Arabidopsis thaliana: one gene and its partner. The protein of the gene in region 1 interacts with the protein of each later gene in a biochemical or structural test. Each region holds a gene or a part of one and is shown in the gene's direction. Other genes may lie near its edges.

Evidence for each region.
Region 2: the proteins of J3 (region 1) and SVP form a complex in vitro, tested with the Arabidopsis thaliana proteins (one study listed by BioGRID).

Annotation. Positions count from the first base shown.
Region 1 is NC_003074.8:15,868,110-15,873,207, reverse strand, and holds J3 (DNAJ homologue 3), read left to right. Parts: upstream 1-1,951; 5' UTR 1,952-2,148; coding exon 2,149-2,301; intron 2,302-2,562; coding exon 2,563-2,728; intron 2,729-2,808; coding exon 2,809-2,947; intron 2,948-3,097; coding exon 3,098-3,374; intron 3,375-3,472; coding exon 3,473-3,671; intron 3,672-3,764; coding exon 3,765-4,093; 3' UTR 4,094-4,577; downstream 4,578-5,098. UniProt on the Arabidopsis thaliana protein: Plays a continuous role in plant development probably in the structural organization of compartments.
Region 2 is NC_003071.7:9,577,781-9,584,590, forward strand, and holds SVP (K-box region and MADS-box transcription factor family protein), read left to right. Parts: upstream 1-1,866; 5' UTR 1,867-2,636; coding exon 2,637-2,818; intron 2,819-3,725; coding exon 3,726-3,804; intron 3,805-4,090; coding exon 4,091-4,155; intron 4,156-4,270; coding exon 4,271-4,370; intron 4,371-4,455; coding exon 4,456-4,497; intron 4,498-4,608; coding exon 4,609-4,650; intron 4,651-5,121; coding exon 5,122-5,163; intron 5,164-5,261; coding exon 5,262-5,413; intron 5,414-5,804; coding exon 5,805-5,823; 3' UTR 5,824-6,121; downstream 6,122-6,810. UniProt on the Arabidopsis thaliana protein: Transcription repressor that inhibit floral transition in the autonomous flowering pathway, independent of photoperiod and temperature. Acts in a dosage-dependent manner.

The DNA of each region.
Region 1 (5,098 bases):
TATGTAAATTTTTTTTTTTGCAAAACAAAATATTATAAAAAAAAATATATATATTTTAAACTTCTTTTATGAAATAAAATATTTAGCATAAAACAAAGATAATTTTTATTTTTATTTTTACCTTCGTTAATATCAAATCAAGACTATAAAGTCATTGTACAAAACATCGAACGAAAATTATAACGTAAGCACCATAAAATGAGAAAAATACACAAACTATAGTGATTGACGATGCTTTTGACATATAAGTCTTACTCGTTAACAGATTATTAAATCTATTTTTTTCGTATTTGATCTTACGCTTATGCAAATTATGTTTCTGGATAGCATTTCTTGCTTAAACTTCCATATCGCATACCGTATTTAAAACCATATGCTTCTGATAACAGTTATGAAATATCAACATTATGATACCAAAACTTCCGTATCATAATCACTTTAACTATCTTTGACTTTGTTTTCTCTCACCATTATATCCCGAGAATAAATTATGACGTCTCAGTATAGTATGAGCCATCTTCTGATTGCAATTATATATATATCACATTGTTCTCCACATCATCCAATGATAGCATGTATCCCCAACATCCATGTGTATCTCTTCCAACAAATCTATCTGGATCATATAACTCCTACTTTTATGTGTCTTGGTTTTTAGAGCCACACAATCCTCAACTAGAGAGTTTCCCAAATCTTCAAAAAATCCGAAATAAGTATCAAACAATATCTCAATTTGATTTTCTTCTATAAGTAAAAGAAAGATGAAATGTCAGTAGTGATGACACCAAACAATTTTGGGTTGAGGAACTTCAAAATGTTTTCAAGATAACACCAATCAATTGAAGGGATGGTGAAGAAAACATTCGGACCTGAGTAATCCTTATTATAAATCCCAGAGAAGATGGTAAAATCAGTGATGATCAAATTACTTACCAATATGACGCTCTCTAAAGATGAAGAGAAAGAAACCGTCATCGTTTTCAACCAACAAATTGCTATAACCACGAATGTGTTCTTTAGAGACAAAACCAATTGATGGAGATAGAGTTTGTGAGAACGATAAAGAAGATCGGCGACCAAGGGACACACGATGGAGAGCACTTTGATCGATCGCGTTAGTAGTGAAGATAGAATCGATAGAAAATCGTAACAAAACTTGGGAATCCAGAACCTCATCTTGATAGTTAGAGAGAAGTGTGATGGTGAGCGATCGAGTAAGCGGATAATAAAATCTATAAAAATCAAAGTTCAATCGCTAGTGTCACCTTTTACAGTTGTAACTCCGACAATACAAATTATTTACTTTAGAAGAGAATTAAGAAAAAAAAGAAAAAAAGAGTCGCCGACGAACCGACAATTGTCAGTGACTCTAAAAACAAATATACAAAGATAAAAAACCAAACAAAAAAATAACAAAATTAAATTTCTTTCACGAAATATATTTTTCTAAATTATCAAATGAAAAAATATTTTTTTACGCTCTTTAACAAAACTCTAATAATTAGTTTTTTTTTGTGAATCGATTGTAAAATTTTTTAGTTATGTTGAGAAGAATAACACAATTTTTTTTTCTTTTACATAAAAAACTTATGTGAGTTTTATAAAAAGTAACGTGAGTTACATAAAACTCATGTAGTTTTATAATTTGTTATTATGTTGCTCGTATAAAAATTTATTTACTTAATATTGTAACAAAACAAAACAAATTTTTTTGAAAAAAATCGTCATAAAAAAAAAGTCAATATAATCTTTTTTTTGTCAAACAAGTCAATATAATCTTAGTAGTCGTTGTTGTACAACAAACATCTACAATATACTTTTCTGTCTACCCAAATAATATAATTTTCCTCTTTTGTATTCAAAAAAATAATAATTTATCTCTACATGTTGGAAATATCAAATATAGTAATAATGTTTTTAAGAGAAAAAAAGGAAAAAAGAAAGTAATAAAACATTCTAGAGAGTTCCAAACTCCACAAAACCTCAAACAAAAGCAAACGCAATTTAGCCTCTTCATAAGAGAGAAGTCCTCTCAGAGAAACGGCAGCCACATCAACCAACCCAAACATCGAAAGAGAGACACTTTTCTCTCTCTCTTTCTCTATCTCCTTCCAATCTCTCTAGGGTTTTCGTTACAACGGCGAAAAGATGTTCGGTAGAGGACCCTCGAAGAAGAGCGACAACACTAAGTTCTACGAGATCTTAGGTGTTCCTAAGAGCGCTTCACCAGAAGATCTCAAGAAAGCTTACAAAAAAGCCGCTATCAAGAATCATCCTGATAAGGGTGGAGATCCCGAGAAGGTGAATAATTTCTTAGATCCGCTTAGATTCTCTCGAATTCGATTGTTTGATTGTGTTTTTTTTTTCGATTGATTTGTTGTCTTGTTAGTTTCTTAATGTTGAATTTTGATCCGATCTGATAAAAAAGTTTGAGTTTTGGCGATTAATCAAAAATTAGGGTTTTGATGATATAGATGTGTCTTGCTTTGATAATTGAGTGGTTAAAGTTTGGTTCTTTGTTAGGTTATGAGTTTGATTTGTTGTGTTATGTGTTGATTGCAGTTTAAGGAGTTAGCACAAGCTTATGAAGTGCTTAGTGACCCGGAGAAGCGTGAGATTTATGACCAGTATGGAGAGGATGCACTCAAGGAAGGAATGGGTGGTGGAGGAGGTGGACATGATCCATTTGATATTTTCTCATCCTTCTTTGGTGGAGGCCCCTTTGGAGGTGAGTCTCCTTGGACACTGTACACTTTATGATATCGCAATTGAGAATTTTCGTTTGAATATGTTTCTGTTTTTGAATAGGTAATACCAGCCGGCAAAGGAGGCAGAGGCGTGGTGAGGATGTTGTTCATCCCTTGAAGGTATCTCTTGAGGATGTGTACCTTGGTACAATGAAGAAGCTTTCACTTTCTAGGAATGCTCTCTGCTCTAAGTGTAACGGGTTAGTACATTCGACTCGATCTTGCGTTTTTGGTGTAGCTATATGTGTCCTAGGTTCATAATAATATGAATTAGCTTAAGTTTTGACAGAAACCCTTTATCTCAATTTGTGACCCCAGTTGGTTAAAAGGTTCTGAATTTGTGATTGCAGAAAGGGATCAAAATCTGGAGCCTCCTTGAAATGTGGAGGGTGTCAGGGATCTGGTATGAAGGTGTCTATTAGGCAGCTTGGACCTGGAATGATCCAGCAGATGCAGCATGCATGTAATGAATGCAAAGGGACAGGTGAGACCATCAATGATCGGGACAGGTGTCCACAATGCAAAGGAGACAAGGTCATTCCTGAGAAGAAGGTGCTTGAAGTGAATGTGGAGAAGGGAATGCAACACAGTCAGAAGATCACATTTGAAGGACAAGCAGATGAAGCGGTATCTACTCTCATACATTTACTCCAGCTTTGATTACTAGTATGTTTACTTTTCTTCTGGAGACTAACCTTTTGTTTTATGTTTTTGTGTTGGTGCAGCCTGACACTGTCACTGGAGATATAGTGTTTGTCCTTCAGCAGAAAGAGCACCCAAAGTTCAAGAGAAAGGGAGAAGACCTCTTTGTGGAGCACACACTTTCTCTAACCGAAGCTTTGTGTGGCTTCCAATTTGTTCTGACTCACTTGGATGGCAGAAGTCTTCTCATTAAATCTAATCCTGGGGAGGTCGTGAAACCTGGTACGTATTCAGATGCATCGTCATACTCAGATTTTACAGTTACTATAACTGTCTCTGATTGAAACATGATCACTTATCTTATGTGTTTGACAGATTCATACAAGGCAATAAGCGATGAAGGAATGCCGATATACCAGAGGCCATTCATGAAGGGTAAGCTCTACATCCACTTCACAGTGGAGTTCCCGGACTCGTTGAGCCCAGATCAGACCAAAGCACTGGAAGCTGTTCTACCTAAGCCGTCAACAGCTCAGTTGAGTGACATGGAGATAGATGAATGCGAGGAGACCACGCTCCACGATGTCAACATTGAGGATGAGATGAGGAGGAAGGCACAAGCTCAAAGAGAGGCTTATGATGATGACGATGAAGATGATGACCATCCGGGTGGTGCTCAAAGGGTGCAATGTGCCCAGCAGTAAGTAACTCCTTAGAGAGACTTTGACCCACATGGGTTTGGGCTCCAACCAATTTGTCTCTTGCTTTTTCATTCTAAGTGTATTGGAGTCTTTATGGGAGTTTGGTACGGTTTAAGAATTTGCCCACTTCGGTGGAACATCGAAACTTGTTTTCTCTTTTTCCTCTGACTTTAAAAATTAAGGCCTTATTACAATTTTGTGTTTTTTCTTTATGATTAAATTTGTAGTAATTTAATGTCTAAGAACATATATACTGTGTGTTTTCTATATTGATATGGATTTAAAATTCAATAATTTTTGTGTTCATGCAGAACAAATGCTGCTATATAGTCTAAGATGTTCATATTTATCCTTTTTGTTGTATATGTCACCATGTTTTGGGTGTTAACTCCGATGACATGTACGTACGAACTACAGTAAAAACTCTATAAATTAGTAAAAACTCTATAAATTAGTAAAAAATGTATTAATAATGTTCGGACGACGCAATTTTATTAATTTATAGTGATATTAATTTATTTTATAAACTAATATTTATTAATTTATCTTATAAGTTAATAAAATATTAATTTATAGAAATATTTACGTAAAATATAATATTATATTTTTTAAAAATGTTTCTTAATTTAATTTTCTATATGCTTTGTTGTTTGCATATATAATTATGTCAGCTTTTTATTTTTCTTTGACTTCTTTAATTTATTTTTTGGCAATATCTTGTGACTGTATATTTACGAAATTAACGTGAATGTAAACGTAAACATAAACATGAAAGTTTAATCCAATTTCTCTTTACACAAATCTTAGCAATGCTTTCTCAAATAAAAGATTTTATAAAATCAACTATGACGGATCAAATACGCAAATAGTTATGTGAGTACAATAGAGATCATACCAGTTGTATTTTAAAAAGAGTTGTAATTGTAGCTTGAACAAAAATTTTATATAAAATTAGTTTTAAAATTAGCAAAAAAATTGTACCAAACCAAACCAAAAATTAGAAAATAA
Region 2 (6,810 bases), on another chromosome or scaffold:
AAACACTATTCAATTTCAAATATAAATGATTCATGCGGTTCCAAACGCCAATTGATGGATGTTCTACCAAATTTAATCTACTTTTACCAAACCATGACAAATATGAATAAACATTACTTGATAATAATTTTGTGAGTGAACAAACTTTTTTTTTTTCGAAACCAAACCAAGCTGAAAAAAACTCAACGATTTTCTTTGTTTAAAATACGTTAGAAAGGAATATGTATTATGCCGAAATAAGTAATATCGATCAGGCCACCTCTCTTATAGTTATTCTCCTAGCAACTTTAACCACTAGAAGGTTTTGTTTTCTAGTGTTTTCTAATATACGTCATCAAAATTTTCAAAAAATACTACATTTTTGTTTTAAAAACTTCCATAATTCCATTACTCGTAGAACACAAACGCAAACCATATTAATATTTTGTTGTCAACAAAAATTTCAAATTATAATTCAACTATATTTGCTTGATTACCCAATTAGATAGAAAAGAGTTAAAGAAGAAAAGAAAAGAGTTTACAGTAAATTAACGCAAACCATAATTATATTTAACACCGTATTAATCACATCAACCATATGACTTTTTTACCGTTTGCAACTTCATAATTCATATAGTATCATAATAAATTCGCAATAATACAACACAAGAGTTTCGTCGGAAGAGTAAATAATACTCAAATAGGGGGTGAGTGATACGAGCCACATGTATTCTTGAAGGGTAGATTATTGCAAACTTGGAGTAATAAAGAGAAGAAGAATGGGTTTGTAGTAGTTGCGTGGAGTATCTTTATTTGGGTAAAACTTTAATTTAGAAATAAAATTCTGTACGGACAATGGATCGTGTCCCAATCAGATTTCTTGTGGCTGCTTCGGGTCTGGTTTTGGGTCCCTTTGAAAAATTTTAGTGGTCGACACTTTTTATTTTACTCTGGCTCGTGCCTCGAGGGTCCCTCTATTCACTGTTTCTTCGTATGAAGGTATGCTTAAACATTATTTTATTTTTAAAAACCCTTTAATTTTATTTTCTTACCTTTAATCACGGTTTTGTAAATTGCTTTTTAGTCTATGGAATGATGATTGTGGCGATTGAAATCATATGTTTGGTTCTGTTGTTGACGTTGGTGAAGTATATGTGATTTGTAATGTTGAGCTTATGTATTAAAATGTTAAATGATAAATAACCTCGTAAGAAAGTGATTTCATTTAAATTTTATTTTGAGTTACATATTCAATTGGTTTTATAAAAAAATACTTCAGTGATGATTGATACCCCCATTGTGTGTGTAATTGTTACTGGGATTGAACAAAATTTATTTGTGCATGACAAACTTTCCAAATTAGTGCATAGATTGTAATTGTATAATGGACTACATGTATCTGAGTAGATATGGTTCATTAGGTTACAAACCTCTTTTTTTAAGGACACAATTTTTCGACAAGTTATATGCCACATGATTGACTACTAAATTTTCAAAAATTATTGCACTAATGTCTTTGAAATTAACAAATTATTTTGTCATTTCCGAGTTGGATTCTTACAAACCAAGGCCGAACTCACAAACTTATTTCTTTCAGTAAAAACAAAACATTGTCCTCAGAAAAATTCTGAAATGTCATCTTCCCAAATGTTTTTACATAAATAAAAATAATATACAGTTGATATTATTTTGTTCTTTCTGAATTTTGTTATGAGGTACCATTACCATATAGTACGTAGATTTACAAAAATGAAAATACGTTGTAGCCCTTGATGTTCTTCAGGTCTTCTAGTTAGTTTTTGCAGTAAATACCAACCAATTAGTTACAAGGAGTATAAGTGAACAAAGTGAGACAACTCATTTTATGCTTCCCTATAAAAAGAAATTCCCCACTGACCCAAACACACACTTCTCTTCTCTCTCTCATCTCATTGGAGACTTATAAATCCTATTACCTCACCATATCCAATAACCACCACACACAGACCAATATCCAAAAAAAAAACTAAAACTAAAAATATAATATATATCGTTTTCTTTCCAAAAATAATCATTTAAGAAACCCCATCATCTTGATAGTATTATAAAATTAATAAACCTCTCCCTGAAAATATCTCATCCTTCACCAATCAAAACCTTCTCATGTCTTCTTCTCTCCTCGACCTTTGAGGTGGAAAATTAAATATATTCCCTTAGCTTTTTTTCTCCTTTAGTTTTCTTCTTCTTCTTGAGTTTTTTTTCTTTTGATCCTCTCTAATTTCCTTGTTGATTCATCGACTAGATCTAATTCTTCTCACAAAAGACTGAGTGTGTTCTTTCTTTCAAATCTTTCAAAAACTAGGGTTTTTACTGTCTTGAAATCATATTTATTCTTCTAAATTTAGCAAAAAGAACACGATTTACTTTCCATTTCAGTCGTCTTGTCACTCTCTCTCTCTTCTTTAAAGTCTCCCTTTTTAGCAAAAATTCTCTCTCTCACAAAATTTATTTCCTCTGGCTTCTTCTTCCTCCTCCTCCATCTCTTCTCTTTACTCTCTCTTTAATCATCTCTCATTCTTGAATCTTGATCCATCAAAATCAATCCCGTTCTCGAAAGATCCATTAAAATCAAAACCTAAGCTCTCTCTCTTGCTTCTAGGGTTTTTTTGTTCGTTGTGATGGCGAGAGAAAAGATTCAGATCAGGAAGATCGACAACGCAACGGCGAGACAAGTGACGTTTTCGAAACGAAGAAGAGGGCTTTTCAAGAAAGCTGAAGAACTCTCCGTTCTCTGCGACGCCGATGTCGCTCTCATCATCTTCTCTTCCACCGGAAAACTGTTCGAGTTCTGTAGCTCCAGGTCTTTCTTTCTCTCTCTAACTTCCCTCTCTATAGATTTCTCATAACTCATCGAAGGAATCTTGTCTAGATCCAGACAAAAAACTTTAAAGAGTTTTTAGATGTATATCTGATACATAGGAGTTTACTGTATCAATCTTTATAGGACCACTAACTATTTATATAATTAAAATAGTTGTTAGAAACATTAATCATGACCATAAATGACATATATAAAGTGTATAGTAAAACTCTGTATTTAGATAAATTAAGGTATCTAACTACGGTAATATTCAAAAAGATGTAAATCTGGATATGCATATATGTATATTATTAGTATATAAATACATGCTCTATAGTAGGTATTTGTGTCAACCATGTATAAATCTATGTATATAGATATTGTGGTATGATATGTTTAAGCCGTCAATGTCATATTTATATAGAAATATGTGGGTACCATAACATGAGGAAGTATCTATATGTGTGGATGTATAAAGCTTTCCCTTTGAAGAAGTAATCTAAAAATAATATATATATATATATGTATATGTATAGATATGTTGGAATCTTTATTAGTGTTGGGAAAAGTCATTTAGAGAGATATTATTGATATTAGGGATCTAAAATGACTTATCGTATTACAGAGATACGATTTTGGATTTTTGACCCACTAGTTATCAGCTCAGTTCCTATCTTCGGGGACATACACACTTTCACAGATAATTGTGTATATATGTAACTGAAAACGATAGTGTTAACATGAAATAATGTACATGTTTGGGATTAAATGTGTTTTGTGGATTTGGTTTGCATCTTTTGATTTTAGATTTTGGTATATTGTCGGTGTTTACATATGCACATTGTTAATATCAACAGTATAGTTGTTTATAATAAGTTATTTATTGGAATGTGTTTATATTATGAAGCATGAAGGAAGTCCTAGAGAGGCATAACTTGCAGTCAAAGAACTTGGAGAAGCTTGATCAGCCATCTCTTGAGTTACAGGTTAGCTACATTCTCGAAACGACCACACATTTTCTTTCCCGATTTCTGTAACTTGCAAAATCGAGTATTACTCCGTTGAATTACCAATATGTTTTAGATTGTTGTATTTATTGACCAAGAATCTCTTAAAACTTTGTATTAATAGGTACAAAACTTTATATTATTGCATATGATTAATTAGACTCGATCCATGTAGTAGTCATGTAGAGTAGTCCTGTGTAGAGAGTTGAGCTTTAGATCATTATGGATATGATTAAGAGCTTAAATCAATGTTTTATTCTGTTAGCTGGTTGAGAACAGTGATCACGCCCGAATGAGTAAAGAAATTGCGGACAAGAGCCACCGACTAAGGTACGTTATATATGTATATTCTATGACTTTTGAACTAACTATCATTTTCTAACTAATTTTTTTTTTGATCAACCACTATCATTTTCTAACTGTGTGTTTACATGATCATATATAGGCAAATGAGAGGAGAGGAACTTCAAGGACTTGACATTGAAGAGCTTCAGCAGCTAGAGAAGGCCCTTGAAACTGGTTTGACGCGTGTGATTGAAACAAAGGTTGTTAAGAAAATTACTTGATACCATGTATAAGTTTCTCTAAGCTTACGAGTATGCAATTTACTAATACGAGATGTGTTTGCAGAGTGACAAGATTATGAGTGAGATCAGCGAACTTCAGAAAAAGGTAATAATTAACCAAAATAACGTTTATTCTTTACTTGATGATTTCAATATTAATTTTGGCAGTTTCAAGATCCAAAATTTTCATCTTCTTCTCTTTTTTTTTGGTGTTCAGGGAATGCAATTGATGGATGAGAACAAGCGGTTGAGGCAGCAAGTATGTGTCTTACCCTCTCTGTTGATAACAAATCCCTTTCTTTTGTCTACCATTAACGTACACACCCCTAAATTTAATCCCCAGTTGTCTACAACACATATGTTTGATCATACTGTGAGATAAATGAATAAACCAAGTGATATAGCGCGATTTAAAAATGTCTTTAAAACTAAAGGTAACCATGTAGCTAGTTAGTCTCTAGGGTCCTAGAGGTCTACGAGTGTGCATGCATGGATTTGGTGCGTTTTTTCTTTTTCATCTTCATTTTGTTTTTTGAAACAGGGAACCATAAACGAATATATATCTAATTCTTGTTTGATATATAGTTTGGTCGAGGCTTCATGTCAAGATTTGCTCATTCGTAGTTAGTTGATCTCTAGAGAAATTCAAAACACATGGTGCCACTAAAAACACAAAATGCAAATACTTAGCTAGAGAACTTAATGATATGTTTTGTCTTGATTTTTGCAGGGAACGCAACTAACGGAAGAGAACGAGCGACTTGGCATGCAAGTACGTGGATATATATATAGTCTTGATTATTTTGAATTTTGTATGTTTGTTATCAGTTTAATGTTAAATTTGGAATATTTTTTTTTGGTTACGTGTAGATATGTAACAATGTGCATGCACACGGTGGTGCTGAATCGGAGAACGCTGCTGTGTACGAGGAAGGACAGTCGTCGGAGTCTATTACTAACGCCGGAAACTCTACCGGAGCGCCTGTTGACTCCGAGAGCTCCGACACTTCCCTTAGGCTCGGGTAACCAATTAATCACCCTTTCTTTTTACATTCTTTTGAGTTGATAGCTTTACATGATTTTTTTTTTGTTTTTAAATTGAGACAAAGAATATAAAAATATATACTTTAAACGACCATATACATGTATGTTGTCCATATTTATTGGCATTGCAAGATATGGATGACACAGAATCGTAAATAAATTTGGTTTATTTGTTGTATATTTGTAATTCTAACAAATAACATGTTATTTTGTATATTTTACATGATATCATGCTATTTGTTAAAATTACCTGTCATAAAAAACACCACTTATTTATGGTTTGTTTTTTGAAAATTCTGGCACAAATCTAATCATCTACAAAATCACTCTAAAAAATAAGTTATTGATTTAATGTATGGTGTTGTGCAGCTTACCGTATGGTGGTTAGAGATGGAACAATTCAAAGAAGTTGATGGAGTGAGGAGAGTAATGTAAATCTTTTTAACTCGGTAGTAACAAGAGACAATGTCTAAGTAGTGAATTCTCAAATGTTTGTGTAAGTTTCTGCCTATGGAAGAGGCTTTCATTTTTATGATTTTCACTATGTATGATCTCTCTTCACTGCATTTCTGGTTAGTAACGCTTGTCACCGATAAACTTTCTCGTTATGGAAAGTTAGAATATAAAATATTGTAGAATTTTGATTATCGATATACTCTTGGTTAGGGATCAAAAATATATTTTAGTGATGCCTCAAATAACTAATAATCATCATAGGACTCAGTCTCATTAGAAATTTTAGTGTAACAAAAGTGTGATTCGAATTCATCTTGTTGTTTTGTTGAATTTGTTGCAAAGTTTTACAAGTTTTCTCAGACCAGAGATTTCAAGTGTCTTCATTGGTGATGATTCTGGTGAATTGATGATCTTACTTGTGTGTGTGACACTTGCAATGTGTCTTGTTTGAGAAACACATTTGTAGTTTAGTTGGAGCTGTGCGGTTGGATGAGACTGAGTTCTATGATAATAAATTAGAAGCAAAGTTTCAAACCATATTCATACGATTCATTATGTTAGCAACAAGAAATATGAATATGGTTTGAAACTTTGCTTCTAATTCATCATTCGTTACACAACGTCCAAAATCTAAAAAAGTTTCAGATTTTCTCAAAATTCAGTAAATGGGCCTCTATATAATGAGGTTTGACGTTTTAGAGATACTTTGCACAAGAAAGAAGGTTCTGGTCGGATCGTTACACACCGACCTTTGACCGGTTCATCAAAACGTGTCCGGTTTTATGTTTAAACCGTCACAAAGGGGAAAAAAGTTCTTTAAGATTCAATTACTTAATGATTAAATTCTTTGCTTGCTTCAACATCTTTACAACTTTTTTATTAAACAAAACGACATTTTCACATTCCTTTATCCACTAAA